Stegostoma tigrinum: one gene and its partner. The protein of the gene in region 1 interacts with the protein of each later gene in a biochemical or structural test. Links are inferred from orthologs where the notes say so. Each region holds a gene or a part of one and is shown on either strand. Other genes may lie near its edges. The genes, in order: zinc fingers and homeoboxes protein 1-like and nuclear transcription factor Y subunit alpha-like.

Region 1 (15,456 bases):
TTTTGTATTTTTGAATGTTTGTAACATAAATGTAAAACTAATCTTTCAATGTCTTTTTGTTGACAAATTATTTTTAGTTGAATTATATATCCCAGCAGAAAATTAAAGGTTATATACAAATGTTTTGCCAGATTATCATCATAAGCCATCTTGTAATTTTATGTAAAGAATAAATTTTAAATTTGTAGCCACTTAGACCTACAGGAACTGCAATATTCTGTCTTTGTAACATATATATATAGTGCAACATTTAATATTTGTTTATTGCACATTTAACAGTATTCACTTAGAATCTTTCAGCACAAATAAGGCCATTCAAACAATTAGCAAGAGCTGTCATGCTTAATCCATAAACTTTAAGTGCCTTATCTTTGCTTTCCTTCTGAAATTATTTATGGAAGCAGACTCTACACTAGAATTATTCCATGCTTCACACCTCCATCCTTTTTGGTTAGATACTAAACTAGGTATAGTAAATGCTTGTATTCTTAAAAATATCACAACATTAAGTGAATCCTGGATTCTCATGGAAATTTACGAAGCCAGAGTTAATTTCTTTTGGTCAGTTCTCACCTGTATAAATTAAGGGTAGTTTTCCATTTGAACGTGCTCATACAACACTGAGCATCTCTTGCTGAAATTAAAATAAGACACAGGAGCAGAAATTAGGCCATTTGGTCCATTGAGACTGTCCAATCATGGCTGACAAGTTTCTCATCACCATTCTCCAACTTTTTCCCCGTAACCTTAGAACATAGATAGAACATAGAACATAGAACAGTACAGCACAGAACAGGCCCTTCAGCCCACAATGTTGTGCCGACCATTGATCCTCATGTATGCACCCTCAAATTTCTGTGACCATATACATGTCCAGCAGTCTCTTAAATGACCCCAATGACCTTGCTTCCACAACTGCTGCTGGCAACGCATTCCATGCTCTCACAACTCTCTGCGTAAAGAACCTGCCTCTGACATCCCCTCTATACTTTCCACCAACCAGCTTAAAACTATGACCCCTCGTGCTAGCCATTTCTGCCCTGGGAAATAGTCTCTGGCTATCAACTCTATCTATGCCTCTCATTATCTTGTATACCTCAATTAGGTCCCCTCTCCTCCTCCTTTTCTCCAATGAAAAGAGACCGAGCTCAGTCAACCTCTCTTCATAAGATAAGCCCTCCAGTCCAGGCAGCATCCTGGTAAACCTCCTCTGAACCCTCTCCAAAGCATCCACATCTTTCCTATAATAGGGCGCCCAGAACTGGACGCAGTATTCCAAGTGCGGTCTAACCAAAGTTTTATAGAGCTGCAACAAGATCTCACGACTCTTAAACTCAATCCCCCTGTTAATGAAAGCCAAAACACCATATGCTTTCTTAACAACCCTGTCCACTTGGGTGGCCATTTTAAGGGATCTATGTATCTGCACACCAAGATCCCTCTGTTCCTCCACGCTGCCAAGAATCCTATCCTTAATCCTGTACTCAGCTTTCAAATTCGACCTTCCAAAATGCATCACCTCGCATTTATCCAGGTTGAACTCCATCTGCCACCTCTCAGCCCATCTCTGCATCCTGTCAATGTCCCGCTGCAGCCTACAACAACCCTCTACACTGTCAACGACACCTCCGACCTTTGTGTCGTCTGCAAACTTGCTGACCCATCCTTCAATTCCCTCGTCCAAGTCATTAATAAAAATTACAAACAGTAGAGGCCCAAGGACAGAGCCCTGTGGAACTCCACTCACCACTGACTTCCAGGCAGAATATTTTCCTTCTACTACCACTCGCTGTCTTCTGTTGGCCAGCCAATTCTGTATCCAAGCAGCTAAGTTCCCCTGTATCCCATTCCTCCTGACCTTATGAATGAGCCTACCATGGGGAACCTTATCAAATGCCTTACTGAAGTCCATATACACCACATCCACAGCTCGACCCTCATCAACTTTTCTAGTCACATCCTCAAAAAACTCGATAAGGTTTGTAAGGCATGACCTACCCCTCACAAAGCCGTGTTGACTGTATTTGATCAAGCCATGCTCTTCCAGATGGTCATAAATCTTATCCCTCAGAATCCTTTCTAACACCTTGCAGACGACAGACGTGAGACTTACCGGTCTATAATTGCCGGGGATTTCCCTATTTCCTTTCTTGAAGAGAGGAATTACATTTGCCTCTCTCCAGTCCTCAGGTACGACTCCAGTGGAGAACGAGGATGCAAAGATCTTCGCAAGTGGCGAAGCAATTGCATTTCTCGCTTCCCAAAGCAGCCGAGGACAAATCTGATCCGGGCCTGGCGACTTGTCAATCTTAATGTTTGACAAAATTTTCAGCACATCAGCTTCGTCTATCTCTATCCATTCCAGCATGCACACCTGCTCTTCAAAGGTTTCTTTCACTACAAAGTTGGTTTCTTTCGTAAAGACAGAAGCAAAAAACTCATTTAGGGCTTCCCCTACCTCCTCAGGCTCCACACACAAGTTCCCTATGCTATCCCTGATCGGCCCTACTCTTTCTTTGACCATTCTCTTATTCCTCACGTAAGTGTAAAATGCCTTTGTGTTTTCCCGGATTCCTTCTGCCAAGCCTTTCTCGTGCCCCCTCCTGGCTCTCCTCAGACCATTTTTGAGCTCCTTCCTTGCCTGCATGTAATCCTCTCTAGCTGAACTTGACCCTAGCTTCCTCCACCTTATGTAAGCTACCTTCTTCCTTTTCACTAGAAGCTCCACCGCTCTCGTCATCCAAGGTTCCTTAATCTTACCCCTTCTTGCCTGTCTCAGAGGGACATATTTACTCATCACTCCCAACAACTGTTCCTTAAACCGTCTCCACATGTCTATAGTTCCCTTACCATGGAACAACTGCTCCCAGTCCATGCTTCCTAACTCATGTCTAATCGCATCATAGTTTCCTCTTCCCCAATTAAATATCCTCCCATTCTGCCTAATCCTCTCCTTCTCCATAGCTATGTAGAATGTGAGGCAGTTATGGTCACTATCACCAAAATGCTCTCCCACCACAAGATCTGATACCTGCCCCGGCTCGTTTCCGAGCACCAAGTCTAGAATGGCCTCTCCCCTCGTCGGCCTGTCAACGTACTGCGTTAGGAAACCCTCCTGAACACACCTTACAAAAACAGCTCCATTCAAATCTTCTGCTCGAAGGAGGTTCCAATCAATATTAGGAAAGTTAAAGTCACCCATTACAACAACCCTACTGCGTGCACACTTTTCCAAAATCTGTCAACCTATGCTTTCTTCAATCTCCCTGCTGCTATTGGGGGGCCTGTAGTAAACCCCTAACGAGGTGACTACTCCCTTGCTGTTCCTAATTTCCACCCATACTGACTCAGTAGGCAGATCTTCCTCGACAAAGGAAGCTTCTGTAGCTGTGATACCCTCTCTGATTAGTAGTGCTACACCCCCTCCTCTTTTTCCCCCCCTCCCTATTCTTTTTAAATGTTCTAAACCCTGGAACATCCAGCAACCATTCCTGCCCATGAGAAACCCATGTCTGTTATGGCCACAACATCATAGCACCAGGTACTGATTCATGCTCTAAGTTCATCACTTTTATTCCGGATACTCCTTGCATTAAAGCAAACACACTTTAACCGATCCCTTGGTTCCTTCCCAGGAAAATCCTTCCCACTAGCTGGTCTACCTCTTGCTACTGCCTCACCTGCATCAACGCTCACCTCTGGTATACAGCTCAGGTTCCCACCCCCCTGCCATACTAGTTTAAACCCTCTCGAACTACTCGAGCAAACCTTCCACCCAGGACATTGGTCCCCTTCCAGTTCAGATGCAACCCGTCCTTCTTGTACAGGTCCCACCTTCCCCAGAAGGCATCCCAATTATCAACATATCTGAAGCCCTCCCTCCTACACCAGCTGCGTAGCCACGTGTTCAGCTGCGCCCGCTCCCTGTTCCTCACCTCGCTATCTCGTGGCACTGGTATTAAACCAGAGAACACTACTCTGTTCGTCCTGCTCTGCAGCTTCCATCCTAACTCCCTGAAATCACTTTTTATATCCTCAAACCTATTTCTGGCTATATCGTTTGTGCCAATATGTAACACGATTTCTGGCTGTTCGCCCTCCCCTTTTAGAACTTTATACACCCGATCGGAGACGTCCCGGACCCTGGCACCAGGGAGGCAACATACCTTCCGGGAATCCCGATCTTGCCCACAAAATCTCCTGTCGATTCCCCTTACTATCGAGTCCCCTACCACGAGTACTTTTCTATTCTGCCCCCTTCCCTTCTTTGCCACAGTGTCAGGCAAAGTGCCAGAGAACTGACTACTATGGCTTTCCTCTGGTAGGTCATCCCCCCCAGCAGTATCCAAAACGGTATACTTATTGCTGAGGGGAATGCCCACAGGGGATCTCTGCACTGTCTGTCTGTCCCCTTTCCTCCCCCTAACTGTAACCCATCTATCCTCGTCCTGAGCCTTAGGAGTGACCAACTCCCGATAACTCCTCTCAATTACCCCCTCTGCCTCCCGAATGATCCGTAGTTCATCCAGCTCCAGCTCCATTTCCCTAACACGGTTTTCAAGGAGCTGTAGCTGGGTGCACTTCCCGCAGATGTAGCCAGCGGAGACGTGTGCCACATCTCCCAAATGCCACATTCTGCAGGAGGAGCAAGGTTCTTGGTTGTCAAGGGAATCAATCTGTCTTAAATATATTCCATGACCTGGCCTCCACACCTTCTGTAACATTGAATTGCATCGATTCACCACCTTCTGGCTTAAGAAATTTCTGCTCATCTCTGTTCAAAAGTGAGTACAAATTGGCCGACTGTGTTCATGCAGCTCCACACTTTGTCATCTCGGATTCTCCAGCATCTGCAGTTCCCATTATCTCTGTTCAAAAGGGTCTGTCTTTACTCTAAAACTGTGTCCTCGGGTCCTAGTATCTCCTGCTAATGGAAACGTCTTCCCAATGTCCACTGTGTCCAGGCCATTCAATATTCCGAAAGCTTTAATTAGGATCCCCTTCCCCATCCTTCTAAATTGCATGGGGTATAGACCCAGAGTCCTTAAATGTTCCTCACATGTTAAGCTTTTCATTCTTCAGATCATTCTCATGAACTTCCTCTGGACCCATTCCAGGGCCAGTACATTTTTCCAGAGATATGGGGCCCACAATTGCTCACAATATTCTAACTGTGGTTTGCCTACACCTTTCTAAAGCCTCCAGTATGTCCCTGCTTTTATATTTTAGTCCTCTTGAAATAAATGCTAACATTGCATTTGCTTTCCTAACTACCGACTCAACCTGCAACTTAACCTTAACAGAATGCTGGACTGAGACTCCCAAGTCCTATTGCACTTCAAATTTCTGAATTTTCTCCCCATTTCAAAAATTGGCTACGCCTCTATTTTTCTACCAAAGTGCATGACCTCTCACCTTTCCCACATTCAATTCCATAAGATTGATGGGCTTAAATGGCACCATACTCTCAAACATTCACTCTGCCACTGAACATCAGAAGCAGCAGTGTGCGCTATTGACAAATTCACGAACAATCCTGAGCTTCCAAGCCTATAACTATTTCCATCTGGAAAACAGGGCAGCAGATACATCTGAATACCAACACCTGCAAGTTTCCTTCCAATCCACTGAACATCCTGACTTGGAAAAATGCTGCCATTCCCTCACTGCTGAATCAAAATCCTGTGATTCCTTCCCTAATGCCTTTCTGGTTCTATCCACAGCACATGAATCACAACAGTTCAAGAAGACAATTCAACACCAAGGGCAACTAGGGATAGGCAATAAATCCTGGCCAGCAAGTGATGCCATGTCCCAGGAGTGAATAAATGAAAAACCTAAATAAAGAAGAAATACTTCATAAAGAGGAAACATTGTAGAACTATGGCTAAAGAATTTGAGTGGGATTAATCAATATCAATTGCAAAGACCAACAGAAGCACAAAATTCTAAATTGGCTTGCTTCTGTCGATGCCTCTGGCTGGTCCCCTAACTCTTGCCTTAACCTGCATTGCAATTCTCTGTCCTAACGATTTTCTTTCCTAGTGATATTTATCCTTCATCACACATAGCCACCAATGCCCTTCATTCACCTTCAGATGAATTTCTAGCATTCTTTACCCGAATTTCCATATTCATGTCAACCCGCTTATTAATATTTAATGTTAATAGCAATGATGACACATGCAAATGATGCAAGGAAGAAAAAAATCGGCAGTGCACTTCAGAAAAACTGGCCAAAAGAACTGAACAACCCCAAAGTCACACCACTGAAATGTCTTATTTTAACACAAGAACTGGTTCAGCTTTGTTTTGTTCTGAATTCTTGCCTTTACAGGCCATCAAAACGGTTAGACAAGACTGCTAGTCAATTTACCACCCTTTCAAACTATTTATATCCTGCTAACTGTTCATGTGGAGCAAAATTTGTCAGAATTGATCTGTTATATTTGGTGCAAGACATTGCTTAGCCTTTGCTATAGTGAGGGGTCAAGCTAACGTATTTACATTATCTGCTGTCTGTATGTGACTTCAGTAAAATGGGGTGAAAATGCTTATTTCCTGGCTGTTTTGCATACTAGTATGTCCATTGTTTTGTTGGGGCAAAATTTTTAGATGTCTATTGAATAACTTCAGAACAGTGAAACTAAAATGCTATAACAGATTTACAAATGGAAACAAATTGAAGGAAGCCTTGTGTGTCGCTACAGAAATATTTTCTCACTTCGCTCAGTGAAACACAGGCCTCATCGTATTACTTCATTCCAGAGCTTAGGATTTCCAGTTGCAGACTATTGGAAGTGTTTCAGTGCTTATTCATTGCATACTTAGAGAAAATAGGATGATGAATGTTATTTACTGAATCAGGAAAGATGTGAGATCTTAAAAAAAACTCCATTCAGATTTTCTCAACAAGATTGTTCTTGGATTTTGGTGCTCAACTACACAAGACACTTTTAGGTACATGGACTTAATTAGTTTTAGTCAGCATCGAGTGCAACCGAAATTGATACTTAAAGCCCAGTTTGTTTTATTTTTTAAAAAAAATTAAAAATTGAACTTTTTGAACAACTCTCTTAAAATATGCTCCTGAACAGTAAGTATTCCTCCCTTCAACTGGACCTTTCTTCGTCATTCTGAAAAAATGACATGACTACACTAAGTAGTAAATATCTCTTAATCATATCGTGTCCAACTTCGTGAAAGTTTTGTGGAGACACTTTAAAAGGGATGATCATTTAAGATAACTTCAACTATCCATTTACATAGGACTTCAGTAAAGGAGCAGAACATTTGGCCCTTTGAGCCTAATTATGGCTTATCCGGTTGTGGTCTCTTCACCACTGTATTTGTACTCCATTAACTCTTGACTCCCTTGTTTATTTAACTCAGCCTTGAATAAAATTAAGACACAGATTCCTCAACTTTTTTCTTCGACAACCCTCAAAATAATTCTCCTCAGTTTCTTCATTTTTAAATGATGTCCCTAGTGTGAGTGCCCCACTAGAAGAAATATCCTCTGGGTATCATCTGTCCCATCCACTCCCTTCAAGACTGTTTCTCATTCTTTTAAATCTCATAGTACAGGCCTAATCTGTTCAATACTTTCTTCAAGATGATGAGTCCTTTAGTTGAGTTAACTATTTTTCAAATAAGTGGACAACCTGTACTTCAGAAGTGGTGTTCATTTTCCTCCATTTGCCTTAATGATATTCTTAAAGACGGGGACAAAATCCAGTGCTTATCGTTGGCTTGCTCGGCAACTTACAAGAATGTTGTGCTGTGCACAAACAAAGCAAACCAAAGTCATGATTTTTATATACGTGTCAAGCATGGAAGGCAACTAAAGCAATGTGTCTTACTCCTTTATAAAACTGAATTCTACAGTTAAAGCTTTAAAATAAACCATTCAACAACCTTTTATCCGTGAAACCAATATAGCACTATATTGTTCAATTCTGCCAATAAAAGGGAGAATGAGACAATTTGAAAACAAATGATGAAAGGAAAACTTGGGCTTCAAGGGGTAGGGACAGTAAGTGGGACATGGTCTTTGAGATAAAAGGACCAGCCATGATCGTACTGAACGGCAGAGGTGGTGTACACCTGCTCTTAGTTTCTATATTGTACAGTGACAAAACGAAAACGTGGCACTTGAGCTGGTTCTTTAAAAGGACTACCTAAGTAAGTCTACCCTGCACTCCTGTCCTCCCGCCCCCATCGGTTTTTGCACATCGCACTGCAATGTTTTAGCTTTTATTCGCTTCCTTTCGAACGCGCCCCACCCCACCACTTCAGGTAGCCCATTCCATGCTAAGCTTAAACAAATTTCCTTTTCGACCTAATGGGTCCTTTGTCAAATTTCTGAAATTTGTCTTACAAACAAAAACGTGTTGGAGAAAAACAAACAAGTCTGACAACACTTGCGGAGAAAGAGAAACAGTTAAGGTCTCGAACAAAAACAGAAGTCACTCAAAAAGCTCAGTAGGTCTGGAAGCATTTGTGAAGAAAAATCAGAGTTCACGTTTCAAGTCCGGTGACCTTTCAGATGCTGCCAAACCTGCTGAGCTTTTCCAGCAACTTCTGTTTTTTTGATTCCTGATATGCAGCATTCTCAGTTCTCTGGGTTTTTAGTTAAGGATTTAGAGACCAGAATGACGCTATCTTTAATGTCACACTGGACTCGCCACCGATGCCGTCAATCCTACTGGACATCTCTAGCACGTTTCGTTTTTGTCAGATCTTCCAAATTCTACCCTATTTCACCTTTGTAAATTTGACAGCTGTACTCTGATAACCAATCTTCCTACCTCCTGAAACCAGTTCATCCTTATTCATTCTATTAAACTCCCGTTAAGGACCACTGCTGCTCTAAAGTCGAGAACAAAAGACAAAGAACTGCTGATCGCAACTCAACTTTGAGAAATGCTCGGCTGAACAGCCGCCGGTGGTCAAACCGGTGACGGCACTCCAGGAGATGGTGGTTCACGACATGTCCTCACAAGGAATTGCTACAATTCGATTATCGTTTAATTACAGTATCTCATTTTACTGTCCTCGGCTTCAGCGGGCACTTTGTTACAGCTATGGTTTACCTTCCCCTTCGTGTGGGGGGAGAAAAGGAATGTTTTACAGAGGAAAAGCGAACCATGCCGATAAAGCCAAGCACAATCCAATTTACGGCCTATTGGCAAAGTCGCGCTCCGATGATGTCAGGGCGTCTGCGTTGCCCTCTCTCCCGATATATTTATAAAAATTAATGTGTCGATTAATGAAAGAGGGATACCGATAAATCGGGAAGATCGGTAGGAGAACAATGCGTTTCGAACGGTTTCGGGGAGTCAGGTATGCCCCCTCATTACCGGGGGGCGGGCGGAGAGAGAAGAATTGGGCGCGACACATTGGGTTCAAAGGAAAGGCCGGTTGTAGCGGATGGGGAGGAGGTCGATGTTTGGTTCTTTCCGCACCAGCGGTACATGTCATCGGCAGATCCGCTGTCGGTTCGCCGCCCTGGCCGGCGGTCAGGCTTCGACTGTTTGAAGGTGGCAGAGCTCGAACTCATTGACAATCGGGGAGGGGTCAGCGAGGGGGCAACAACCGTCACCCCCGCGCGATTGTCAACTGCCACCCCCTCGCGGAACTCTCCTCCTCCGCCAGCAGCCCCCTCTTTCTCCGCCCCTCGCCAGTGAAACGGCCCGGCCACTGGGCAGCTGCCGGTAATAAGAAGAACAATAAGTTCGGGGATACAGGGTAGAGTGTACCACCTCCGACCTTACTTCTGACAGGCAGGTACTTCCCCCGCCTATGGCTGGAAGATGTTCTCCACATCTTGTCCTTTCTCGGTGCTGGCTGCTCAGATTGCACCCGGTCTCCCCGACCGTGTGGGTGCGCTCTGTTTACAGCCTTCCATCCTTCCATGTTGTTTACACTGAGGAGGTGGTGGATAGAGTTTAGTGTTTCCTATTCCAGAAAAAAAAACTTGAACATTGCAACGTGATCTGCTTGATTTTCCATCAAGGAGAGCTAAAGGAAGGAGGTAGGACTGTTTTGTTATTTTTTTTCAAAGAGCTGGAACTAACACAAGGGCCCGAGTAGTCTCCCTCTATAACCTTATTGTTATTTATGTTTACAAAATGCGCCCAGTTTGGAAATAACATATAACGCTCCTTCAATCTCTCTCTCTCCCTCCCCCCCCCTTTAACATGCCCTCCTTAACTAAGTTGCCCTCGCTGTCCTCCGCGCTTTGCGATTTTATTTCTCAGATAATGCTACTTTGAAGCATCCTAAGATAATTAACAAAAAAGAAGACAATATTAATGAGATATCAAGAACTGCAGATGCTGGAGTCAGAGATGACAAAGTGTGGAGCTGGAGGAACCTAGCAGGTCAGGCAGCATCAGAGGAGCAGGAAAGCTGACGTTTTGGGTCGGGACCCTTCTTCAGAAATGGAGCTTCAGATGAAGAGTCTTGACCCGAAATGTCAGCTTTCCTGTTCCTTTGATGCTACCTGGCCTGCTCGACTCCACACTTTGTTATCTATTGTGTTCTTATGCTAATCAAAGCCATTGAAGGGTCAGTGCTTTCTAGTAGGAAGATCCTAATGTCCTTGATAGCATTCCTCTGAAGCACCTTGGGACATTTTGCTGTGTTAAAGTGGCAAAATAAATGCAATCTCTTGAATATTGAGCACTTTTTTTGCACCTGGCTGTAGGCAAGTTATTGGGCTAATGAAAATTAGTAAAGCCCCTTTTTGCTTTAATTTGCTGAGGATTGGTTGAAGGTGTTTTGGTTTGGTTTGTGTTGTTCCTTTGCAAATTCCAGTGTATAATTTTGAAATGAAATTGCCCAAAGAGCTGTTCAATTCAGCAAAGCTGAAAGCCTTGTCACGATTTCTATGACTTCTCATTAGGCTAGAATGATTTCAGAACATAACAAACCAAACCTTCCAAAACCAAACTGCATGTTTAATTTTTGTTTTTAAGATTTATAATTTTTGTCTCTGAATTGAGTTTAATTGATCAAGTTAGAAAGTCAGAGCAGTGACATTAACTCACCATGTATGTCAGTTGAATGTTCATGAATATTTGACTACATTTTGTATGATCATTCAATTTCGTGATTTATTTTCAAACATGCAAATTCCAAGGATTCTTTAATTTAAAAAAATAATGTAGCAGACAGATTAGAATTCCAGATTTTTCTGATAAAGTATATACAGCCAATAAAAGAGCAAAACACAAGCAGAAATCAGATCTAGAGAAATTATTCGAGAATTTTTTAAATCCTAATCTAGACAGGATGAAGAAAGCACACATTATGTCCAAATGGTGAAGTAACAAAACAAATTTATGTCTAATTTCTTTGTTACTCTTCCTCCAGTTTTCTGTACTCTGTACTATATTTTTCCACCTGGTTTGTTCCTCACTCCTGAAGTGAGTACTTATCTCTTATCCAACAATTCTGTACAGATGCTTTCTTTGGCTGTTAGTTTGTCTTTTTCTCCCTTTTTTGTTGTTTATCTACAGAGTCAATTCATCCTATTGAATTTTGTGACTGATATTCCTCTGGAACTGGGGATGTGGGATGGTTAACTTACTATTAAGAAATTCAGTGCATTTAGCTGTAGCCGATGCAAGGAAAGCAGTATGGTTTGGGATTAGGCAAGCAGAAACTGTCGACTGGAACTGAGTAAAGAGAGAGAACGTAAGCATTAGTCAGAACATAACAAAGGACTGAAAGCAGCTGTGAAACTCAGGACTGGCAAGAATGGCCTCAAAGGAGAGAGCAAGCAGCACAACCATGACTTGGGAAAGAGCAGGAACAAAGGAAGAACTTTATTCTTATCATTTTTATTTCTGAAAATACCTTTCAATTTCATGATTTTCTTTTCAAAGCTGGATTGAAAGGTTTGGAAAATGAATGCAATTTACAAGAGAACCAAAGTAGTAATTCAGTCAGATCAGTGAAAATGGTGTCTTTCGTGAGGCTCCAAGAATCTTCCAATGGTTCAGAGACTTTAACGCCTTATCCTGTGATTCTTTATTTTTTCATTCATTTTTCTCTTTGCTAGAACTTGAAAGTGCAGTACATATTATTGAACTTCTGTTCTTGATTATTTGATTGGCTGTGGCAAGAGTTAATTTGAATATTGTAGTTATTGTGTTGGGTGTACTTTTCACTCAATGCTAGCTATGGTCCTGCAGTCCAAAGAAATTCTAGGTTTAAATTTATAGTCAAATGTTCACCTCTCATCCATTTTCCCTTGAACAAAAGTTTTTGATTTCTCTTGTGATCTGAACACAGCAGGCCAAGCAGCATCTTAGGAGCAGGAAAGCTCCTCTTGTGTTCATCCAGCTCCACACCTTGTTATCTCGGATTCTACAGCATCTGCAATTCCTATTATTATCCGGTCATGATAATCACCTGAACTCAAACTAATTATCTTCCCACTCTGAAGAGCGGGTTAAAAAATGATATTGTTGAAAGACATTGAAATTTTGGTGACTAAGTTTAACATCCATTTTAACTGCTTGCTCAGAATTGTTATATAAAGAAGTAATTATATGCGCAGCACCTAAACACTAGTACTTACAAGATGTGTTTAAATTCTTCGTATCTAGAGGGAAAATGAAAGCACCATATTGAACTTCTGAAGTGGTAAATTTGACAAAACTCAGCTTTCCAATTGATTTTCTTTTCTTGCTAGTGCATGTCCATTGGCACGTCATAATATTTGCAAGATTGAAATTGAGAGCCCAGCCTGAATAATTCCATACATAGTAGAAGCTGCAGACTCTGGAGAATCTAAGATAACAAGGTGTGGAGCTGGACAGACACAGGCCAAGCAGCATCAGAGGAGCAGGAAAGCTGATGTTTCAGGCCTAGACCCTTCCCGAAACGTCAACTTTCCTGCTCCTCTGCTCCTTGGCCTGCTGTGTTCATCCAGCTCCACACCTTGTTATCTATGAATAATTTCATGCTTACTTGTATGTTGTTATTTTGTGAACTGACTGTGTATTTGTCTGTGAGAGTAATCTCTGCAAGCTTGGTGTTGTGATTTTCAACAAGAAAATTATTGCCCTATACTTTCATACGTAAGTTAACTGAGTTTTCACTTTGGATCATAAATTGAATGAGTAGTGTGTTTTTTAGCTTTACCATGTTTCTCAAGGTCTAGGAAATATTTCAAAGGGAATTGTGGAATATAAAATTTATTCCACTATGCATGAAGAATTTAACAAGTTGTGAGTAATCTGTTTTTCTGACTTTGAGGTCTGTGACTCACTGGTATGTAGTGTTCTTCAGCAAAAATTAGTTGTTTGAGATTTTAAAGTTCCGTTGAGTTTCTGTGTTTCCACAAATTACAATAGTGTAAGTAAAAACTAACAGGTTTTAATTATATACCTACAAAGAAAGTGTTTTTGTACTTTTGGTGTCCTTCAGCAGTACATTACCACTGCTTTGAAAATCTCCTAAATTAATCCATTGAATTCCTAAATTAGTTTTTATCCCAAATGAACATTTTGTACAATTGAAAAAGCAGCTAGATGTAGTAATATCTGTGATATTAGTAAACATTTCTCATTAATTAACAGGATGTAGGTGTCACTGGTCAGGCCAGCATTTATTGTCCATCCCTAATTATCATTGAAGCAGTGTTGTTTAACCACACTCTTGACATCTGAATGGATTCCTCAGCTGTTTCACAGGGCACTTCAGAATTGACTACATTGTCGTGGGTCTGGAATCACATGTAGGGCAGTCAAGGTAAGGGATGGCAGATCTCCTTCTCTAGGATGCTGGTGAACCAGGCAAGCTTTTACAACAGTTTTGTGGTCACTATTATTGACACGAGCTTTTTGTTCCAGATTTAGTTAACTAATTAACAGCATTTAAATTCCCACAGAGCCATGATGCCTGTGGATCATGCGTTCACCCTATACACTAGTGGATTACTTCAGTGAACTAATATTCTATTTATTTGTTAAATTGTGAGGAATTGCATTCAGTTCACTTAAATTCAAATCTCAATTTTATGGGATATTCACTTGGGAAAGCCTGTTAAGATGGATAACACAGGGTTCCCATATGCACTTCTAATCCAAACTGGTGTAATGATATTCTGGCCAGTAGAAAATCTGGCCTGATATATATTTTACAAAATGTAATTACTATTTTATAATTGATATTAATTAGAGGTGATCCCATTGAAACATACACAATTCTGACAGGCTGCAGGGAGGAGGTTTCCCTGGCTAGAGGGTCCCAAGCAAGAACTCGAGGTCTCAGGATGTGGGTTGGGCTACATCAGAATGAGATAGAGAAATTTCTTCATTGAGTGTGATGAACCTGCGGAATTTTCTACCATAGGCTATAGAGTCCAATTCCCTGAGTGTGTTTAATGAAGAAATAAATAGATTTTTAAAAACTAAAGACATTGACAGAGATGGAGAGAGAGCAATATATGGCATTGAAATAGCAAATGAGCCATGATCATATCATATATGGTAGATCGGACTCAATGGGGTGAACAGGAAAACGAGTAGGCAGTTTTCCACTTTTTTGTGAAGTTTGATTACACACAGGCTTTTCTTTTATTGTGGATTAACAATACAGAAAATTTGACTTCTAACTGTATGTAGTCCGAATGTCAGATTCAGTTGAGGATAAAATTAAGTGAAGACCTGTTACACCAGAATCTCAGATTACACATTTGATTAGGTTTGCATCACGGTAAGTTTATTCCAGGTTAATCCTAAAAGTTTGATGCATTACTTTTAACCTCCCTTGAAACTCTTTTGAACCAACTTTTTTTTGGCAAGGATCATATTATCTGCCTTTTTTTAAATTTGGTGCAGTTGTTGACATGGATGTGTGCTTACACCATTGATCAATCATTCTTAGGGCAGTTGTCAGCTTATTTTCCAGCCTGCACTCCAATTTACGACACAATTGTGTTATTTCTCTAAACAGTGAGCTTTTCTCAAAGTAACAAGGAACTCCCATTTTCTGGAAACATTGTGGAAATAGGGACTTGTCTTCTCTGCACTCTTGGAGTTCTTGAAGCTTAGCCCAGTATTGCCAATGTCACATTCAGAAAGTCATACAAAGATTCAAGGCCTGTTCCAATGGCATGACCATGTAATTTGGATTAATACTTTGATACATTAGTAAGGCACAGATGCACAGTTGGATGTACGTCATTTCAGATAAAGTGTTTAAACCAAGACCCATCTGTACTCTTAACAAAAAAAATCCCTTGACATTATGACATTATCTAATTAAAAGCTGGATGTTATTTAGAAAGTGTGCAGATTTATGAGAATGATTTTGGGGGTGAATGATTTTAATAAGTGGATAGATTTGAAGAAGCTGGGCATTCGTATTAGAAAAGAGAAGTTTGACACAAGTTTTTATAGAGATGTACAAAATTATCAGTTCAAATAGACTTGATTG
Region 2 (15,059 bases), on another chromosome or scaffold:
GCTGCACTAGGCCCACCAGGCTCATGGTGGTGTCTTTGTTCAGCATGTGAGCGGGTTCTGCCCAGGCATATTCCTGAGGCACCGAGGGAGATGGGAGAGATGACAGCTTCAGCATCAGTGACAGTATCTGTGGTGACATTGTCAAGAACAGATAGCTGAGGTTTTCCACAGAGCGAGATAAACAGAGGACTCAAAGGCTGCAGAACTTTTAACTTATTCCCTTATTTTCCTTTAGTTTAAAGGAAGAAAGATTTTAATATTAACTATTACATCATTTCTTTATTTTTCTACTTATTCTATGAAATAATACTTAACTTGTTAATGCTATTTCTTTTACTACTTTATACTAAAGCACCTTGGTACCCAAGATGGCACCTTTGGTGGTGACATTTTACACTTTTCACTGTACTTGAGTATACATGACAATAAAATCTAAATCCAAACTTAAACTGAGCATTATGACATTTCAACTGCTTATCCAAGAACTTAAAAAGGTTGTGAGGATACCCACCTCAACTACCCTCCCAGAACCACACAGCCCTCTAAGCAAAAAAGATTTCCTTAAATTCCCTCTAAACTTCCTGCCTTTCACTTTAAAATTATGCCCCCTTGTTACTGATATTTCATCTGAACAAATCTTTCTGCCAAATCAATTGTGGCTGGGTGATAAGAGGTAATCAGATATGTTAAATCCTGTCGTAGACAGTCCATGAACTCTTGGAGACCATTTTCACTAAGTTATTTTAGATATGCAAACTTCACAAAGAGCTCCCTCAAATCTTTCAAGGTTTTCTCTAAATATAACAATCACCAGGTTGATTCAGGGGATGGTAGGTCTGCCATGAGGAGAGATTGACTAGGTTGGGATTGTTTTCGCTTGCTTCAGATAAATGGGGGTGGGGTGGGGTGGGGATCCCATTGGAGCTTCTAAAGTTCTAACAGGACTGGACAGGGAGGATGTTCCCGATGGTCGGTGTGTCCAGAACGAGGGTCACAGTATGAGGATTCAGGGTAGATGATTTAGGACTGAGATGAGGAGACATTTCTTTACCCATAGAGTGGTGAGCCTGTGGAATTCATTACCACAGGAAGTAGTTGATGCCAAAACATTGAATGTATTCAAGAGGCAGCCAGAAATAGTACTTGGGTGAATAGGACCAACGGTTATGGGGAGAAAGCAGGTTTAGTCTGTTGAATTCGATGATCAGCCATGATTTTGAATAGCGGAGCAGGCCCGAAGAGCCAAATGTCCTCCTCTTACACGTTTTCTTCCACGTTTCTAAGGCAACTTCAGATCATTTAATGTGTGTGTCAATCATTATGAAAAACATTCACCCTTCAAAAGATTCAGCGAAGTGAACATGGATACTTTGGTATGGCCTTTCTGGCCCTTCCTATAGATGTAATGGCACTAAGGGAGGTAGTCCGAACTCTGATGCAAGGTGCAGGTATTCCCACTCTCTTCTCAATTTCAGAGTCAGCTCCTGGCCACCAAATATAGGGTCTGGCTTCAATCTGAAAATGCCACTGTACCTGTTGTTGTTTGATTTAACACATGCTTCCTCAGCTGTGATGAAATTAATGACCCTCATTCTCCATAGGAGGTGTTCTGTTCAACGGATAGTTCTAACTTCCACGTGATAGGAAGTAAACTATGTATGATCTTGCTGTAAAATACATGTCCACTTTAGATTGGAGTGGATCATTTCTAACATACATTTTAACTTGTCCTGCTGTTACCATAATATTCTTTACTTGTGCAAAGCAGAAAATGTCTACATAGGGACTGTTTGTAATCAACTGATTTGGCAAACGTAATCTATCAGCATTCCCATACAAGTTGGATTGAAACTATGTAAGTGTATAAGTGTGGGTGACAGCAACAATGCCCATATCTTCTCTAGCAGCAAGCCATAAGCAGATATCTCTACACGAGGCCTGAACATTGTGGTCTGTAGTCTGTACACAGTTGGTAAGGTAAAGTCCCAGCATACAGGTATCGGTGGAATTGTCTATTGGGGGCAGTAATGGTTCCTCGAGCTTTCTGACTGGTTTATCATTCAGTACGGGAGTGATCCAACACTGGTTGGCATAACTAGCAACAATTAGGATATTTACTAGTAGCTCTTTGGACTGCAAGTCTGGGCTTTTCTCAAGCCCTTTCCTACTCATTGGTTTCTGTACTTTCATGTACATTATTTACCTTTCTTCCTCTATATGCCCTTTTTACCACAGTTTTTACATACAGCTCTTACATATACACCAGCAACTTACTGCTGCGTGACCTATTTTTCACATCTGCATTGATGCGTATCTCTCAGTTGCCATGTTACAAACTCTCATGCGCATGCCTAATCTTCAAGCTTCCTTGGCTGCTATTTACATTGAGACTACTATTTTTCAGTGCTCTAAGTCTAGACTCCTTTCTGTCAGTAATCTCTTCTGGATTGCTTCACATCTCAAACCATACATCAGGCAGTCTCCAGTAACATCATTAAAGTTGTCTCCAAATTCATAAAACCCTAATAGCTTCTTTAAAAGTTTCTATGAATTGGTAGATAGATTCGCCATCACGCTGGCTGCATTTCTGTAATTATTAATTGATTTGGTGAAACATGGCTCAGTACAATTTTTTTCAAAAGTTTTGGAACCTGGCTTCTCTGGTTTTACCTGACTCCTCAAGAAGGTTAAACAATGCTTTGGACACTGGGGTAATTATGCCCACTTCAATACTGTTAGCTTGAAAAAAAATAATTTTTGGAACCTCCGAGTAGGTATTCCTGCCCTCAAAAGTGTCATCATATGGTCCCAAGGCACCAAAATGTCCAGCATTTTTTTTAAAATTGGAAACAAGATGATAGCACAAAATACTCTCATTGTTTTAAGCACTACCTCACTTTTTCCATTTAAAATAAGGTATTCCTGAGGCTGCCTATTCCTTTCCAACTCTATACCCCTAGCTCGAAACATTTCCCTCCATATAATGGGATACTTATTAATCAGTGTTCCTTCAGGGTACAGCTTCTTTGGCACTATTCATCTCTTCCCTGGGGTAATTTTCTTTTGTCTCAAAGGCTCTACCTGATTTAGTGCAGCAATGGCACATGTTGATTCTATTTTTTTTAATTGAAGCACCTCATACCACAATTAAATTTCTTTTCAATGAATCTGTGGATTGGCCCAGCAAGTGTCGAGGTATTTTTTATCCTCCATTGCCAGTATTCTTCCAATGTTAAATTCCAAGGAGAACTGGGAGGTTGAAGCATTAAAGAGCAGCAGCTTTATTATGGTGGTATTTACAGTAAGGTTTAGTCAGAACTGTTTTCATGCCCGAAACCATTGATGACATTATCATTATAATCACATGATCAGTGTCTTAAAGCGACAGTCCACCATACTTACACAAATACACACCAATTGTAACTTTGAGACCTTGCCCAATGGAATTGCAACAGCAGGTATGAGGAATGGGTGCACAGGATATGGAACATATTAGGATGTGAACAGCAGAAATTTAGATGAGCGACAGGTCACGAAGACCGGAAAGTGGATGTTTGACCAGGAGTTGGGTCATCAAGTCTAAAGCCAACAAGTGAAGCAGGAGGATAGGAGCCTTGAAATGACATTGGATGATTTATGCATCATTTACCTTGCCGCTGGGGCTGTTGCCATCTCACACAGGATGCTGAGAAAGCTGCTGTGATTGCTGTTGCATACACGAATCCAATATTCATCTACACCTAGTTGCAATTTTGAATTTCTAACAGAAAGACAATGTGCTGCAACACTGGGCACTGATAGCTATGTTAAGCGTCCTCACTCTGAATTCGTCAGTTCTGAGGAAGGGTCACTCAACCAAAAACATTAATTCTATTGCGCTACACAGATGGTGCCAGACGTGCTGAGCTTTTCCAGCAATTTCTGTTTCAGCCTATCTCTGCATAGCTGAATCACTTCAGCCCAGGCAACACCCTGGTGAATCTCCCCTGCGTCGTCTAATGCAATCATATTTTTCCAATAGCGTGGTAACCAGAACTGCACACAGTAGTCCAAATGTTTCTCACTAACATTATATGTAGTTCTCTGCCCTGTAAAATCTCAATGACTTCTTGCAAATTGTCCTGATAAAAGCAAGAAGAAAAACACATTTTGTCAAAGCCTTTTCCAAAAATATGCATATTATTTATTCCAAGGATCAGTACTCTAAGATCTCGCCATGTTTAATGCCTTTCAGCCACTGTACACTAAAGGGTTGGAAACGGTGTCAAAATCCAGGCTACATGCCTGACAAAAAAATGCACATTGCGACCATCAAGAGTAATGAAATGTTGAGACATCAGAATGGCACATGCTGTATGGACAAAAATTAATTCTATTATATTTTCTGTAAGTTCCAATTGAAGTTTTTTGCCCGTAGGCTACATGCCTGAAATGAAACAGATATTGTCAATATCAACAGTATTACAATTGTATTGGGGCACTAAGAGTGGAACATGTTGAACGGAAACAAGCAAAACTTTGTTACACATTCTGTAATTGTTAGTTTTTTTTGCAATATTCTTGAATGAATAAAGTGTTTTCAATTATTTACAATCTAAATCAATAATCAAGATGAAGGTGATATATTTGACCGTAACATTTTCAAATTTACTAATGATGCAAAGTTAGGTGTAAAATTAAAAATAAGGAAGATGTAAAAATGCTGCAGTGATAAAGACCTCCACACCATCCATTACCAATGCATAACAGTAGCAGTGCATTCTATCAAGATTTACAGCAACAACTCATTAAAGTTCCCATGACAGCACCTTCCAAACCAGTAGTCTTTAACACCAGAAAAGGAAGGACAGCAGATGCATGGGAATGTCATAACCTACAAGTCTTCTTACAGTTACATACGATCCTGACTCGGAAACACTGTCACTCCTCCACTGTTGCTGGGTCAAAATTGTGGAAGTCCCTTCTTTACAGCACTGTGAATTATTCAATACCAGATGGCCTCAGCGGTTCAAAACAAAACAGTAGCTTCTGAAGGGCAATTAAAGAAGGACAACAAAGTCTTACCTTACCAATGATGCTCACACCCATGAAATTTAAAAAAAAATTCGTGACAGAGAATTATATATCTTTGAATACTAAGAGATATGAGCGATATGTGGATGTTGCAGGATGTAGCAATTGGGGAAAAAGACCAGCCAGGACTTTAATGATGGAGCAAAGGGCCAAAGGTTTCCTGTAGGTTTCTAAGTGCTATTTAGGGGTGTGATTTTGTGGAACATCTACTGCCACTCACCCTTTCCTCATGTTAACCATAATTATACATCAGTTGTGAAGTGTAGTGAATGGTTCTCAGGAATTGGCAGGTCACATGGACATACAAACAAGGAACAAGAGTAGGCCACTCGGCCCTTAAAACCAGTTCTGCCTTTCAATAAGATTGGGACTGATCTGATTTGAACCACAACTCCTCATTCCTGCATATCCCCCATAATCTTTCATTCTCTTGGTAATCAAGAAACTATGCACCTCCCACCTAAAAAATATTTAAAGATTCTGCATCTACTGCCTTTAGAGAAACAGAATTATAAAGAAAAATGTTTTAATCTTTTCCTTAAATGGGTGATCTTTTTTAAAATTATGATCCATATTCTCCTGCAAGAGGAAATATCTTTTCAACACCCACCTGGTCAAGTTCCATCAGGATCTTACGTTTCCAATGTATCACAGACTCTTCTAAAAACTTTAAAGAACACACGTTTTGCTTGTCTCGCCTTTCCTCGGAAGGCAATCCACTCATTCCAGGTATTAAGATAATAAAATTAAGCTAATAAAGCTAATAAACCTTCCCTGAATTGCTTCCAATATGTTAACATTCTTGCATGCACATGGTGACCTGTGCTGTACAATAATCCAAATGATGCAGTCTCACCAATGCTCTCTATAGCTGAAGTATGACCTCTGTACTCTCGCATTCAATTCCCCTAAAAATTAAGCCAAGATGTTCTAATCAATTTTCCTGATTACTTGTTGCATGTGTATACTGACATTCTGCAATCCACCCAGATCACACTGCAGCCTCTCACTATTTAGATAGTCTATTTTGGCAGGGGGAAAAAAAAACTATTTCATACCTCTCCACATTGTACACAATCGGTCAGATTTTTGCTAGTTCACAACTGGTTCATATCCCTTCTGTCCTCTTCACAGCTCACATTCTGGATTTATTTTTGGGTAATCAGCAAATTTAGCTACCATTCCTTCAGTGCCTTCATCCAAGCCATTTTTAAAACTTTTAAAATGTTAAGGCCCCAGCATTAGAGATAATAGGAACTGCAGATGCTGGAGAATCAGAGATTACAAGGCGCAGGGCTGGATGAACACAGCAGGCCAAGCAGTATCTTAGGAGCAGGAAAGCTGACATTTAGGCCCTTCATCTAGGCCCGAAACATCAGCTTTCCTGCTCGGCCTGCTGTGTTCATCCAGCCCTACACCTTGTTATCTAAGGCCCCAGCATTGTCTTCCATGGCACACCATCGATATCCTGCCAGTCTGGAAAAGACCCATTTATTCTTTCCTGCTAGCCAGCAAATCCTCTATTCAAGACAATATGTTACAGTCTTCATCATGAGCTTTTATTTTCCATTATCATATGGTTCTGGAAATTTAACACATCCACTGGTTACTTTTTATCTTGCTTCTTCAGAGAACTCCAAAAAATTAGTTAAACATGATTTCCCTTCGACATATTTAATTATAGCTTCTGTAAGTTTATTTATGGCAGATGTTAAGCTAATTAGTATATAATTTCCTCTTTTCTACCTGTCTCCCTTTTCGAATAATAGAGTTACATTTGCTGCTATTTGGAAAATTAAAACCAATGCTTAAACATTCTGACTAGCTGTACAAGTTAAAAGCAAAATATTTAAGGATGCTGGAAATCTGAAAAGAACACAGAGAATGCTGGAGAAACTTAGGTCTGGTGGCATCTGTGGTGAGAGGAAGAAGTTAATATTTCAGTTCAGCACCTCAAAACCAGCTTCACTTTTTAAGAATCAAAAGCAGAGTACTGGATAAACTTAGGTCGTCAGGCAATAGAGATGAAAACAGAGATAACATTTTGAGTCCAGTGACTGTCCAAGTTCATTCTGAAGAAAAGCAGAATCCTAACAGTGCAGATAGAGGCCATTGAGCCCATCAAGGCTATACTGACAGTGCGAACAGCATCCTGCCCAGACCCATTCCACCCCCCCATCCCTGCATTTTAACATGTGAATACAACTAGCCTGTACATCCCCAGGTACTGTGGGCAATTTAGCATGGCCATTCCACCCAACCCGCTTATCTTTGGAGTGTGGAGAAAACCCACACAGACAAGGAAAGAACATACAACTCTGCACAGTCAGACCAAATCTGGAATTGAACCTTGGCACTGTGAGACAGCAGTGCTAAATCACTATGCCACCCTTAAATGCAACTATGGGATGTGAACCCACATCATGTAAGTATTAGTTCAAAGCCCCTGCATTTCTAACCCAGGCACATCATCAACATACCAACACCACTCAGAATCACTGGACTAAAGAAGGGTTGCTAGGCTCAAAACATTACCTGTTTTTTCCTGCACAAGTACTGCTTGACCTGCTGAGTTTCTCTAGCAACTTCCTCCTTTGTGTAACATTTCTGGTAGTGCTGTTATTTATTTTACTTCACGCCTTTTAAGAACCTAGGGTGAAGCTGGGGATGGTAATAGACTAGTGGTATTATCACTGGGCTGTTAATCTAGAGACCTAAGTAACATTCTGGGGGTTAAAATAGTATCAGAGATAATGGGAACTGCAGATGCTGGAGAATTCCAAGATAATAAAATGTGAGGCTGGATGAACACAGCAGGCCAAGCAGCATCTCAGGAGCACAAAAGCTGACGTTTCGGGCATAGACCCTTCATCAGAGAGGTGGGGTCTAGGCCCGAAATGTCAGCTTTTGTGCTCCTGAGATGCTGCTTGGCCTTCTGTGTTCATCCAGCCTCACATTTTATTATCTTAACCATTCTGGGGGCCTTGTTCAAATCCCACCATGGCAGATGATGGAATCAGATGACTATAAATCCATTGCCAGTCGTTGGAAACAACTCATCTGGCTCACTAATATCCTTTATGGAAGGAAACTGCCATCCTTACCTGGTCAGGTCTACATGTGACCCAACAACAATGTGGTGGACTCTTAACTGCCCTATGGGCAATAAATGTTACCTGCTAAGTGACACCATCATCCTATGAATGAACGAAGAACAAAAAAAAATGGATCTGGGGACTTGTCAACTCACAGTTAAAACAATTAAATTATGTACCATTTCCCTGTTCATGGTAACTCTTGCAAGTTCCTCCCTCAGGTTAAATTCCTGGTTCACAGTTATTTCCAGGACCTTGAGCAACTTAGGGGAGGCAATAGTCCAGTGGTATTATCTCTAGAGTACTAATCATGAGATCCAGGTAGTGCTCAGGGGACCTTGCATTGAATCCCCTAACAACAGTCAGTGAAGTTTGAATTCAATTTTTTTTAAAAAAATCCAGAATCACAAGTCTAAAGATGAGCACAAAACCGTTGCCACTCACTGGGGAAAAAAAAATTACCAGGCTCAGTAACGTTCTTTTAGGGAAGGAAACCGCCAACCTCACTTGGCCTGGCATACATATGACTCCAGGCCCTCAGGTTGACTCTTTACAACTCGCTACACAATTAAGCCTAATCAGCAATACCCTCAGCCCGAATACTAGTTTAGCCTACATGTGAACCCAGACCTACAGCAACGTAGGTGACTCTGAAACTGCTCCCTCAGCAACTGGGAGAGGGCAATAAATGGTGGCCTTGCCAGGGACATCAACAAATCTCCAAAACCTATTATTCAACAGATGGGGCTTATCACAAGGCACTTTCTTGTGACTTACCGTCTTGCCTATTCCTCAACTCAAAGGATGCCTGCTGGTAACTCTTACTCACAGAAGCAAACAACACAACTTCACAGAAAGAAACGACAGCAGCTAAACTGGAAGCCCAACGGAGACGCGAAAGAAAAAGAATCCATTACCAAGATGGCGGCAGCACTGCACAGGAGTCACGTGCCCTGCGGGCGCCGGGGTCCTTGTAAACCAGCAGCACCACGTGAGTCATACCTTTTTTTTTCCTTTGCAGCTGCGCAGTGTGATCCACCCGCCCCCTAACCCGCTGGAGGAGGAAGCCAATGCCGCGCAGGTGCAGTGGCGTGGCCTCCCCGGAGACTCAGTGCCCCCCCCCCCAAAACAAGACGACCGGCCGGAGAGCGCATGCGCAACAAGCGGTTTCGCGAAGGAGAAGGCCGCTCGCAGTTGGTCGCCATCTTGTGCTGCTGTGTTCCTATTCGCCGCCGGGGCATTGTGTTTAATACCGGAGCCAATCAGAGGGGCAAAAGCGCGGGGTAAGTCCGGCAAATTGCTGCCAACAGGCTGCGAGCTGGAGTTGGACAGGAAAATGGGAGTGAGAAGAGGCAGTGATACGGCGTGGGGGTAGTTACTTATGACACCCCCCCCCCCTTTTTCATTCCCCTTCCATTTCGGCATCGGGATTGGATAGATCGAAAAGCGAATACATTCAAGAGTGGGGGGAAAAAAAATCACCGAGCGGGAAAGGGTTTTGGCGGGAAGCAAGCGCAGATTTTTTTTAAAAAAATTTCATTCCCGTCCTTTCTCTTTTTTTTTGTTCTGCCGCTGCTGTCTTTCTTTGCTTACCCCCATTCACCCTTTTCGGTCCGCTTTGCCGTTCACTCTTCTCGGCCCGCGTTCCCCACCCTCTCCTCCCCCCATCTCCCCTGTACAGGGGGTAAAATGGCGGCTGCGTGGGGTCGGGGTAAGGAAATGTCTGTTTCCGCCGCCCCGATCGCTCATGGGCCGTCAGTCGACGGTTGTTGCTTCAGGATGGGGGTCGATGTCGATTCCTCCTGACGTGATTAACGATTTCTTTTTAAATCGGTGTTAGTGTACGCACGGTATTCGCGCTCTGAAATGGCGGGTGAGACTGTCCGGTCTGGCAGTGCAGCCCGTCTTGTTCTCAATCTCTCACTTCGCAGGCTGTCTCTGCGCTACTGACTGGATACACCCTGGGTATTGATCCAGGTGGAAGGAGGTGCTGTTCCACCTTCAATTTCTTCACCACCCCTTGCTCCAGACTGTCCTTTCAAATCACTTGGTCATCTGTATCCTGCTCTGATACCTTTACTGTATGTGAGGAGCGCTGTGGGAATGCAAACTGTAACGCCTCGCAAATACAGAGTTATCATCAAAGATGCTACATTTCTTTGTGAAATGTCGGGAGGACTAATGACGAACATAGAGAAACTTTCAAATCTCCTGTTAACGGGGAAACTTGTATGCATGCATGCTGGTATGTTGGTGTGATCTTTCTAAGACCGATCTACTAGTCGCTATTAGACAAAATTTGTTAGAAATTTCTAACTTAAACTCCTGAAGGAAGTTGTCAGTTGTATAAACGTATTTTCATCTGTGAAAGTTGTTTGTCTGACATGCTGCACTTAAATTATGATGTTGTTGGTTTGTAAGTTTTGGGTGGGCAGGTGTCTGGCTCCAATCGTGATTAGTTTAGGTACCAACAATCTGGCGTTTAAATTTTAATTCCCAGTCTTTGTCCAGTAGTTTGCTTTAAGAGATTTGTTTTGCCCTTTAAAATTTTTGAGCTGACTGTTGTATTAAACTTTTTTTAAAAATATCATACATTTGGTATTTCCAAATCTATTTTGAAAGCTTTCACCTGGTTCTGAATCTGAAGATAAAGTTGGGAATTGATATGAATTTTAACTGTTAATGATAGCCACTTGAGAGTTATAATTAGGGTGTTAAATTTTCTACCTCTCTGAATAAGATGTTAAAATAAATTGATCTATTATAGGTTTATTAAACCTGGAAAATTTGAAGTTATGGATTGACCATTTCATGTTTAGGCATCTTTGTAGAATGCACTTCAAATTGTGCAGTAGTTGTTGGTAATAGAAACAATTGTTTAAGATGATGGAAAAGTATTGAAATAACCTTTTAAAAAGATTTTTACCTGTAGTATGTCAAGGCTTCCAATTAGGATTAACAGGATTGGATTGTCTGCTGGTTTGAAGGATGTTATTGCTTTAAGGTGATTCAGTAACAAAAATTGAACACTTGTATTCAGCGCAGTGATGACTTTGAAAAGTGGGTTTCATGTGAGTGTAGAAATTTGAAGCTGTCTTATTTGCCACACCCACTTTCATTGATGCTAAAAATGTATTGATCTCAAGCTTGATATGGATTCCCTCTATATTCAAATTGCATTTTTTAAAAAAAATCTAAAGTGCTTAAAACAAAAAGACTCTGGAAGCAATTGGAGCCTATGCTTTTCCAGCTCAATATATCATGGAATGCCTAAAATTTTAATTAATTTTTTTAGTTGGTTTAATGTCTGCATCCACACGCATTTGATAACTACTTACAAGAAAAGTAACAAACGAATTTCTGATATACATTATTTTTCAAGATTATCGTCGTCGTAGTACGACCACTACCATTGTAGTATCCCTGCATTGTGGAAACAGGCCCTTGGGCATAAAAAGTCGAGACAGCGCATCGGAGCATCACGCCCAGACTCATTCCCTATAATGCAACTAATCTACACATTCTGTACCCTACGAGCAATTTATCATAACCGATCAACCTAGTCTGCACATCTTTGGACTGCGGGAGGAAACCAGAGGACGCCCACACAGACACGGGGAGACTGTGCAAACTCCATGCAGTCGCCCGAGAGTGGAATTGAACCTGGGTCCCTGGTGCTGTGAGGCAGCAGTGCTAACCACTGAGCAAGATGTGAACATCTTTGAGAAGACCACTATTTAACTTTTGAACCCTAGTTGTCCTTGAAGCTGTTGAGTCATCTTTGAATGTATAGTATGTTTTAATGAAGGTTTCCACAATACAATGAGAAGGAGCTCTAGCAACAGTGAAGGAATGGTGATGTATCCAAGTGAGAATGGTGTATTTCTTGGTCCTGGTTTCCTTTGTGTCTGTTGTTCTTCGATGGCTGGGGTTCTGTGTGTGAAATGTGCTAATGAGGAAACTTTGGTGACTTGCCATGAGATAGTAGGAACTGCCAGTGCTGTAGTCCAAGATAACAAGGTGTGGAGCTGGATGAACACAGCAGGCCAGACAGCATCAGAGGAGCAGGAATGCTGATGTTTCAAGTCTAGACCCTTCAAAACATCAGCTTTTCTGCTCGTTCGTTATAATGTCATGACAGCAGCATTTAATATGTCTGTGGAATGGACTGCTTATCCTTGATAGTGTCAACTATACCCAAACAAGCAAATGCTTTGTATTGGAGAAGCTCAGCAGGTCTAGCAGCATTTGTGGTGAAAGAAGCATTTGACTATAAACATGGTTTCTGAAGTTCACGTGCAGCGTGTACATAAAAGGTTGAATTGAAACATTGACAAGGCTGCACAAAACCCCAGGATCTTAAGAGTGAAGAAGATACAACTAAGCACGATCACTAGAGACAACTGGCTGGGTTTCTTTAAACAAATGTGTGTTATGTTGTTTATCTTTATTTCAAAAGCACTTTGCACAAAAAAATCACAAATACATTGAAAGATTCTATATTGTCTGTTTGGCCTTTGGAAAAGTGGGGGTGTGGGGGGAGAAACACAATGGAATTTGACATTTCTCAACTACTCTACAGTTGCCAAAAATGTGGGAAAAGCCTCTTTTTTTTATACAAGAAGCTTTTCATGTTGAGCTAGTGAGTAGATCTGCAAACTGAATGGACCCTTGTTATTACTGTGGTGGAAAAACTGACTGTGGTCTTTCCCTATTGCACCTTGGCTGCTGTTCAGAGCTTCACTGCATCCCTTGCACATTGTCATATAGCACAGAAGTAGACCCTTTGGTCAAAGTTAGTTGCATTGACCAGACATCCAATCTGACCTATTCCCTTTTGTTCTTTGGCCAGCATTTGGCCCATATCCCTCTAAATGTCATTATTGTACCTGCCTCCAGCACTTATACTTCCCCCTGGCAGCTCGTTCCATATAACGTCACCCTCTGTGAAAACGTTACCCCTCACGTGCTTTTTTAAATCTTGCCCCTTCTCTCCTTAAACCTATGCCCTCTGGTTTAGGAATAGCCTACCCTCAGAAAAGACTTTGTCTATTCACCCTATCCATGCTCCTCATGATCTTAATTCTCTATAAGCCATCCCTCAGTCTTCACTCTGGGGGAGGGGGGGGTGGAAAAACCCAGCCTATTCCGACAGCTCAAGCCATCTAGTCCCTATTAACCTAGAATATTCATGTGCGCAAATTTTTATCTTGTCTGCGACATGTACCTGTTTGAAAGTGGGTTCTCTGCCACCAGCCAGTAAACACACTTCCTGGTGAACTTTATCCAAAAATAAACAAAACTGCAACTTTTAAGAAAATAATGTCTGGTTACATATAGGACACATTATTTTTGTCCAACTGTTAATAAAATCAGGAGGTTTAAGGTCAGGAGTAGGCATTTTACCTACAGCTGGTGTTACACTAATGGGCCTCTATTTCCGTTTTCTCTCACTGTCTCTTTTAGATAGTGGTGTTATATTTGACACTTTGCAATATGCAGGGACCACTCCAGAGTAGATACAATTTTGAAAGATGACCACAAACTTTCCACCATCTTTCCAGGCACTTCTTTCGACATTCTGGGAGATACATCCTGCTGTCTAATTGAGTTTACATACTTTTAAGTCTCATTAATTTCTCTGGTACTGTTTCTTTTCTTTAAACTAATTAGTATCTTGCAGTTCTTTGTGTACACCAGTCCCTAGACTCTTATTTATGGAAGGTTTTTGGAGAAGACATATGCAGTATTTGTTTATTTTCCATCATTCCTATTTTTTCCATTTAGAGATTTTCCCAGGTTGGCTTTAAGAAAACCACATTTCTTTTTGCTGTTCTTTCCAGTTTTACATACCTGTGGAAGCTTTTAATCTGTTTTTATATATTGTACTTTACTCTAATTATGTTTTCTATTTCTTATCTTTTTCTTGGTCCTCCTTGGAAGCATTTTAGAATTCTGCAATTTTCCAGGCTTTCTTAGCAAATTTATAGGCCTCTTCCTTTGCCTGTTGATTCAATGCAATTCTTGATTTATTAGCCATAGTTGGATGCCTTCCTTGCTGCGTGTTAGTCCTTTTAAGGAATGTATTTTTGTCATATACTGTGTACCAGTTATTTAAATCCTTTTCAGTTTCAGTTTACAATCATGCCGTTAATGTAATTTCACAGTCCACTATTGCTAGTTTGACCTCCAAAGCTTCATACATCCTGTTGTTTAGATTTAAACCACTTGATTAAATGAACTTGAAAATGATGTGCTCTAAGATGCTATTGTATTATAGTTAACAAGGTGTGGAGCTGGATGAAGAAGGGACCAGACCCAAAATGTCAGCTTGCCTGCTCTGTTCATCTAGCTCCACACCTTATTATCTCAGACTCCAATATTGATAGTGCTGTTTTATAATGGTTCCCTTACACCAGAAATTCTAATTAGCCTCTCTTATGTTTTGTTTTTGTTGAGCAGTACTTGGTCTAATGTTTCTTTATTTATTCATGGGATGAGGGTGTCGCTGCCTAGGCCAACATTTATTGCCCAAAAGGCATTTAAGGGCAACTGCATTTCTGTGGCTCTGGCGTCACATGTAGGCCAGACCAGGTAAAGACACCAGTTGCTTTCCCTAAAGGCCATTAGTGAACTAGAGGGGGATTTCCAACAATTGACAACGGATTCACAGTCCTCATTAGATTCTTAATTCCAGGTATTTATTGAATTCAGATTCCACTAACTGACATTGCGGTCGAACCTGAGCCCACAGAACATTACCTGGGTCTCTGGATTAACAGTCCAGTGATAATGCCAATAGACCGTTGCCTTCCCTAATGTTGCTATTTTCCAGTTGGATTTTCAAGATAGTGCTCAAGAAGGCTACCTTGCATGCATTCCAGAAACTTG

The links.
Region 2: the proteins of zinc fingers and homeoboxes protein 1-like (region 1) and nuclear transcription factor Y subunit alpha-like form a complex in vitro, tested with the Homo sapiens proteins (2 studies listed by BioGRID). The link is inferred for Stegostoma tigrinum from reciprocal best matches to the Homo sapiens genes ZHX1 and NFYA.

The regions. Positions count from the first base shown.
Region 1 is NC_081358.1:39,333,424-39,348,879, reverse strand, and holds the start of zinc fingers and homeoboxes protein 1-like, read left to right. Parts: upstream 1-8,951; 5' UTR 8,952-9,345; intron 9,346-9,382; exon of another isoform or gene 9,383-10,036; intron 10,037-15,456. UniProt on the Homo sapiens protein: Acts as a transcriptional repressor. Increases DNMT3B-mediated repressive transcriptional activity when DNMT3B is tethered to DNA. May link molecule between DNMT3B and other co-repressor proteins.
Region 2 is NC_081374.1:9,810,128-9,825,186, forward strand, and holds the start of nuclear transcription factor Y subunit alpha-like, read left to right. Parts: upstream 1-9,319; 5' UTR 9,320-9,451; intron 9,452-9,476; exon of another isoform or gene 9,477-10,413; intron 10,414-15,059. UniProt on the Homo sapiens protein: Component of the sequence-specific heterotrimeric transcription factor (NF-Y) which specifically recognizes a 5'-CCAAT-3' box motif found in the promoters of its target genes.